Caenorhabditis elegans: one gene and its partner. The protein of the gene in region 1 interacts with the protein of each later gene in a biochemical or structural test. Each region holds a gene or a part of one and is shown on either strand. Other genes may lie near its edges.

Region 1 (3,590 bases):
AGAGGAAAAAGGGAAAAGGAGAAGGTGTAATTATAGAATCGATTTGACTGGGAAGCAGCGGCGACTCGTAGATTTACAATAGTAAGATGTAGAGAAACGAGACTCTTTTTTTAATCTCAAAAATATGTATTTAATTATACATCTTGAAAATTTTGCAGATTTTTTTAGAGTTAGCCTACAGTACTCGGTCTCGAAACGGCCAAAACTATTTAAATACCGTATCCGCAAGTATTTGTTTTTAATTTTTCATGATCTCCTACAATTTTCCAAAAATGTATCGGTTTTTCCTTTAAAAATGTGGAATTTTAAGTGAAACTATTACAACAGATACAGGTGAAAATTGCGAAACACTTTTGGGTGCGGTAGCTGAAAAGTTTCCATCGTGCCGAGACCGGCTACCGTATTTTCGCATTGAAAATCTCAAACTTCTGCAAATGGGTAGTACCAAAATTGTGTCTCGAAAATGATAAAATATGCCAGAATCGAATCAAAAATGATTCCTAAGTCAACGTTTGAGCCCTCTTATGACATTTTCAGACGATGACAACTAGAATAAACTGTCATTTGACAGATGACTAATGGATACAAAGAGCCTTTTTGCCAAAAGTGTGTCACCATTTTCGAAATAAAATTCTCATTTTTCTCTATACTTTGTTCAGAAATCTACAATGATGTTTACGTAATACAAATGTGACGTCAATTCTATACAGATGAAAAAGTGATTTCGCAATGTGTATTGCTAACTGTTGGAGGTATTCCATTCGCTGGCCGAAAATAACGATGAGCATGAACATGAATTTGTTTGTGTCTTCTTCGTTTATTCATGAATCAAAAATTTGAAAGTAATAGCAAAAAAATATCAAAATCCGAGAGAAAACATGATTTTCTGGGAGGGGAGAAGAGCAACTTCGTAGACAATAGTTTGAATAGAAGTCACTACTCGGAACCGTCATACGAGAAAAATGAGAAGAAAATGTGAAGGAAATACAGAATTATTACAGAAAATGAGAAGATTTTTTTAAAGGGGCTTTGGGTTTCCATTAGAAGTATGAAATTTCCATTGTACAAGTATACACATTCGTCGGCGGATAATACATGACACTTTATTCCTTCTTTTCGACCTCTCCTCCATACACACTTTCGTCACTGTAGGCGATGTAAAGGAACAAGTCTTCCTCGTGATGGTCCTGTAATAAAGAAAAGGGTTAATTAAATGAAAATAAACGACTGGTTAGTTACCTGGTAGAGTTGTCCCATTGTGGTCATGGTTTGTGGAATGACATTGTTGACAAAGAAGAACAGAGCATCTTCTGGACGAAGTTGGATGCGTTTTCTGATGAGGAAGTAGAACTGTCCAACAGTAAGATCGGATGGGACCAAGTACTTCTTCTTATCCAAGTCATGGAGCTTTGACTTTGGTGCTTTCTCAACAATCACTGGAATACGGTCTGGGTACTTTCTGCGGATCTTGTCTCCTTCGGCACGACGCTTCTCAAAGTTGTTCTCCTCCTTGTAAGCCCACTTCATTTTGATTCGAAGGTTAGTGTGAAGAGAAGGTTACTGGAATAAAAATACTTTAAATCACAGAAAAATCATAAAAGAACCATGAGAGAAGAAAGGTGTAACAAGTGAGAGTGAATGAAGGTGACATCACATGGGTTTTGAGAGATTGACCGATTCGATAACACATTGCGAAATCTATATAAAATTGACGACGAGTACTAGTAAGGCAAAAAGAGCATGAGCAAGAATGGCCCGTGTGCAAGTGAGAGAGGGAGTGTGCGCGCACATCGGTCATATGAGAGCGCGTAGACGCAGGAGACATCCTATTGATTTTCTATGTTTGTCTGGCCTGGTTTTGTTGAGATGCAGAGAAACAGGACAAGTACAATGCAGCTGTTTAGAGGTTGTCGGGGAAACTGTAATTCTGGGAAGACTGAAAGTCGATCGATATATTAGTAACATTTATCCAATATTCACTAGTATCCATAACCAGTTTCTACGAATATTCTTAGCGCATTGTTCCAAAAAATTGAATTCTGAAAGACTTTAGTAATCAACTATTAACTAGATTAATATGACCGTTCAATAAATAATTTTGGTATGATTTAGCAATATTTTTAGATAGAATTGTTAAACCGTACATTTAATAGTCAAACTTGTGAAACATTTCTTAATTTCAAATTTCAAATCTAAAAAAGATTTTGATTTGAAACCGGTTTTTTAAACAAACCAACTAAAATTACAAACTTTTAAATAAAAAAGTACTGTCGCTACCGACGTCGCCAGAAAGTGAAAGAAATGGCAGAAAGTCGCAAAGAAGAGCGAGAGGCAAGACTGAACACACCAAGACGAATGGCACTAGCTAGAAAGAGAGAGAGATGAGAGAGGGGCGGAGACGACGAGACACCACGACTCAACATCATGTGACTGTGTCATACGGCGGCGAAACGAGACAGCAGGCAGAGGAGAGCAAGAGAGTATAGGGAAACATTGGATGGTTTGAGAGAAGTAGAGCAGCATGGTGTAGAATCATCGGGGTTTCAGGTGCCGATCGACAGATTGTTTGTTCTTAGATTCTTTTGATAGGAAATTTTAAACGTTAGAAATGATCAAAAGTGATAAAAGGTTAGAATAACAACTAGACAACAGTTGGTATTGAGTATGTTTTGCTATTAAAGGAACATAATATGCTAAAACTAAACGAAATAAACGATATATAACTACTATATCCATACAATAATATGTAGGTGGAAAGTGCATTAGCGACATAATTCTAAAATAAAGAGTTGGAGCAATGAGAGCATCATCCACATTCACAGCTGTCACCGTGACGTAGAATGTAATGAACTAGAAGAGGGCATTCAAGACCAGCTGGTAAAACGCTAGAACTGACAATATAAAACAAATCAATTAAAAGATCTTAAAGACATTAGGGTGCACTCCATGTAATCGATCAGAAAGGCAAAAATATAAAAAGGAACAAGATAAAAATTTGCCGGAAGCAAACCGAGAAAAAATATTAAAAAAATAACCAAACAATAAACCAAAGGTTAAAAATTTATAGACAGTCAATAGTGACGAAATGTTTTACACGGACAGAAGTACAATAATCAGAATAAAGCTATAAATATAAATAAATAAAAAATGATAGCTAACATGGAGAAACAATAAAAATATGAAAAACGCTTTTTTCTTTGAACCGTAAACAACGAAAATCTAAAAATTGCCGAATAAGTTCGCTTGTAGCCCAGGATGGAACATTTGGAAACTTGCTACTACGAAACATCGAAATGTCAGAAAAAATAAAAGTAAAAAAGTTGTAAAAAATTATGATATGCCTAGGAAAAAGTTTGAAAACTCGTCGATATCCGCCTTTTTAATTGATTTAACAGAGATCAAATGTCGATTTACTGTCGCCTTGAAAGTGCACCAGTTCGAGAGAGATCTGTAAAAATTAGTTATGAGACTTGATCTGCAATATGACAAACTTACAACTTGCTAGCTGTAACATATCATCAGGTTTGAACTTCGAAATGTCTGGAGCACTGAAATTGGAATATTACATATCCACGATAAAATCTTTTCAA
Region 2 (3,930 bases), on another chromosome or scaffold:
ATCTCGAATATGAACCCGTCCATCGATTGATAGAAGCATGGCAGTGTTACCAGTTAGTGGAGAACTTGATTCTGTTAGTGCTTTCCTAAAAATTAGGTTTTTGGTACTTTCTCTTATGTTTGCGTGGATCATAAACATGTTTTCCCATGATGTCAGTTTCAGAATTTTCTTGTGTCGATTAGAACTTGGGTCAGATTTTGGTAAGAGTTGGGTCAAACTTGGATGGAGCCTAAACCAAGCATTTCCAACGTTTTGCTCAAGATTTAAACAGTTTACAGTTCCCTTTTGCAAATATGGAAGTGAGATTATTTTCAAGCAAAAACTAACTTCATAATAAAAACAGCTTCTGAAGGACTATACCAACTTCCGACGGCCTTTTTCCCTTTACCCATTGCAGCAATTCCAACCATCTTATGAATTCCCAATGGAGCCGTTGGCTTGTCTTCAAATAATTTCAGAATCATCCACTCTTGAATTTTCTCTCTATCGAAATCATCTTCATCTCCATGAGCGGCGACATGAGATCTTTTCCTTCTTGTAAATCTCCAATCTCTTCCAAATCGATTCACCATAATCGCCTGTGCAACCATCATTTGTGTTGTTCGAATCATACATCCCCATCCACAATCTGTTGTCGTCTGAAATATATTATATTTTATTACAGTACACTGAGTGCGTCTCTTACATCAGTATCAAGAAGTGCTGGAAAATCTGTCCTATAGGTGATCCAAAGTCTCGAGTAGTAATCAGAACAAAAGTTCTCGAACCCCGAGCGAAGACCACTTTCTGCAAAAATTTGCTTTCCCATATTTCACTTTCTATGGCCGAATACTCTGACTTGTTGATTACAAATTGAAGAACAAACAAAAAAGGGCTCAACGAAGGTGGTTTTGGGAAAATAAAAAAGTTGGGATCGTGAACCCCAAGTTTGCCGGGCACAGTAATTAAGGATATTTTTAAAACTTTTTAGCCAATATAATTTTTAAAAACATGGATTATTTTGTGCAAAAAATTCAACAAAAATTGTGAACACTTTTCCTAATCTATCAAATTGTGTATTATATAAAATTAACACAAAGTTGTTTCATTTTGATGAGATTTCCCCCCATTAAAAAGTTCGCTCTACACCAGTTGAAAACTTACCATCTACACTAGTTGAATATCTTCTTCCCAAGAAAACAACATCATTTTCACCTCCATATTCATCACTTCGATCTGACATCCATGTACCTAAAATCCTCAATTAATAGAAAATTGCTACTGTATATACGCACTTGAATATTTGATATTGTTCCATGTTGACCATAATCTCGCTTTCCACTTTTTCTTCGAATGTTTCTCAATTTCTCCTGTTGAATGTACGTCTTGGCTTGAACTTGACGGTCGTATACTTCCCATCATTGACGCGCCGGCTCTTAAAAAAAACATTTTTGATTGTTATGGATCACAACATCTATAACTTGGTACATTTTTACCGTAACTCTAATACATAGTAAGTTCTGTAGACAACAAAATAATGTAACGTTATAAATATCCGACAACTGTGAATAAGAAGAACAAAATGTATGAACAGAGCGTGTGATAACTAATCAATCAAATGAATTGCTGACAGTACATAACTGTTTGAACATTGCCTACATAGATTTATTTTATAGTTTCCAAATAGGCACAAAAAAGCTAAAATGCATTGATAAATAGCTTGAAAGGCAATCTATGCCTACCTAGTCGCAAAAAAAAACTGCCAGTCGCAAAAAAAAACTACCAGTCGCGAAAAAAACTACCGCGGACCTTACTGGAAAATAGGACAGTTTGTAGGAATTCTATCATAGTACGTACTTTTGTGCGCGCCTAAATAGAACCAAAACTTACCAAAATATTTGATGATGATTAATTTTTAAAACTTATACGAGCATAATTGTTAGACTATGAGAAATGATCCTGTTAAACTTTTTAACTAGGAACATTCCAGCTAAATAAAGCATAAAATTTCTAGAAACTCACGATTTAATTTTGCTCATCCATGAAAGATTGCCACCCGGAACAAGGCTTGCAGGTGCAGATTGAACTACATCCTGGCCCAATACAACCATTCTTTCTGTATCCGGAGTTAACGCTTCTTCCGGGGCTCCGTGCTTCAAAACATGCTCAATTTCGTGTCCATCATCATCTGATAATGAGGATTCTGAGCTACAGTATTTTCTTGGTAATCGACTGGAACTTGCAATCTTTTTAAAATCGTCTGGTATATTATTCATTTTAACGCTTCATATGTAGTCTGGAACTTACAATTGATAGTAGAATTGGTAAGTAACAAGAAAGTAATATTAAAAGTATGAAAAACTGTACGCTATACAGTTGAGATAATGGTAATTTAAACTTTAAACAATTAAAAGTATTTATTTTTTAAAAATTTCAGAGAAGTATAAGTTCCGTCCGATGATCCTTGCATGTTTCTTCTTCGAAGCTTTTGAATCCGGCCACCTCAAATATTCCAATTTTCAGAAATTCTTGAAGACCTGACAATGGGCACAGTCCATATTCAAAACTTTTACAGAACTTCACAGTAGACGTTATGTCGACTCCATTGTGGAGCACGCGGAGCAATCTCGTTTTGCTGGGGGTTTCATAGACCTCAAAAACGACCCGAGCCGCAAGCAATTGCCAATCATTGTAGATGGCAGAGTCCGTGATAATTCGGAGAATCGACCCAATAATTGTGTCATGAGACGAGAAAAGTTGAACTTCTTTTTCGTTGCCTTCAGCCATCAAACCGAGAGCTCTCAGAATTGGATATGAATTCAGGACACGGTATTGTCTATCAACTCCAAGATTCAAATTGAACATTTTCGCACTTTGTTTGTTGAAATATTCAAGAACCTGAAGAATTTTTTTTGCAATTCTTAAAATTAAATTAGGTTTGCATTATGGTGTATTTCAATTCCCAAAAATATGTAAATTAAATTAACCAAGTTCTACTTTCAAGCTATGAGTTACAAAATTCATTGACTAGTTTTTCCAGTTGAACCTTCGAAAAGAGTTTGCAAACGTTATCCATGTCTGGGTCTGACCCAAAATTAATTAAGGCTCCCGCTCTTTTTCAAAAGTCACACAAACCATGGTCAACTTACATCTCCAAAATACATGAACGAGGTACAAAACTGATCATTACATGGAAGTTCCTTCCGTTGACACACATATCCTGCTACAAGGTTATCAATGACATCCAAAGGATCAATGTGTACAGAAGAATAGTTAATTGCATCAAACATTTTCTTTGCAACGTCTAGAATTCTTCTATCGGCTTCCAATTGAAACAATCCCTGACTCTCTGCTTTCATCGTTTGTAGTAGTGTCTTGATGACATTGTCACAGTTACATTCAGCATCTGTACACCCGTAGTATACAGATGAGTTTGTTAATTGAATCGGTGTTGCGAAGTTAGTTTGATTTTGATCCAACAGACCACTGACAAGAGCTATTCCAGAAGCAAATGTTCTTTGAAATTTCGAAAATGTTAATTTCAAATTCAAGGGAGTCTCCGAAGTATCTGAAAATAATAAATATTTTATAAATTTTTGAAGCTTTCTTAATAAAACTTACCAAATAATGGAGTATCCTTGTACAAACTGTATAAGAACCTTCCCAATGCAAATTCTTGAATCGCGCCTCGTGGAGACAAAAATGCTCTTTGGCATTTATTTCCTCCCGGAACAATTTGCAGGTTTTCAAAACCAGGTGGAATATTCAATCGACTTGTGATATTCTGACCACGAGAGACAGTCAAGTACTCCTCAAATTCTTTTGCTTCTTGTTCACTCAGTTCACTACATTTTCCACCAGTATACAATCCAAAACGATCTCCATGTCTGACAGCTGCTAAAATTGAAATCAATGTAGCGTTTGGATGATCAGTGCGTCCTTCGGATCCTT

What was found.
Region 2: of the proteins of lgg-1 (region 1) and atg-4.2, one has a biochemical effect on the other in vitro, tested with the Caenorhabditis elegans proteins (one study listed by BioGRID).

The regions. Positions count from the first base shown.
Region 1 is NC_003280.10:6,346,160-6,349,749, forward strand, and holds lgg-1 (Protein lgg-1), read right to left. Parts: upstream 1,561-3,590; 5' UTR 1,528-1,560; coding exon 1,240-1,527; intron 1,188-1,239; coding exon 1,104-1,187; 3' UTR 801-1,103; downstream 1-800. Other genes in the region: putative RING finger protein C32D5.10, read right to left, coding at 3,411-3,448, 3,496-3,548. UniProt on the Caenorhabditis elegans protein: Ubiquitin-like modifier involved in the formation of autophagosomal vacuoles (autophagosomes). When lipidated mediates tethering between adjacent membranes and stimulates membrane fusion during autophagy. Recruits lipidated-lgg-2 to maturing autophagosomes.
Region 2 is NC_003282.8:11,666,375-11,670,304, reverse strand, and holds the start of atg-4.2 (Cysteine protease atg-4.2), read right to left. Parts: upstream 2,282-3,930; 5' UTR 2,256-2,281; coding exon 2,002-2,255; intron 1,415-2,001; coding exon 1,275-1,414; intron 1,231-1,274; coding exon 1,144-1,230; intron 787-1,143; coding exon 686-786; intron 639-685; coding exon 328-638; intron 86-327; coding exon 1-85. Other genes in the region: ZK809.9 (2-phosphoxylose phosphatase 1), read right to left, coding at 2,413-2,877, 3,129-3,547, 3,601-3,930. UniProt on the Caenorhabditis elegans protein: Cysteine protease required for autophagy. Cleaves the C-terminal amino acid of ATG8 family proteins lgg-1, to reveal a C-terminal glycine.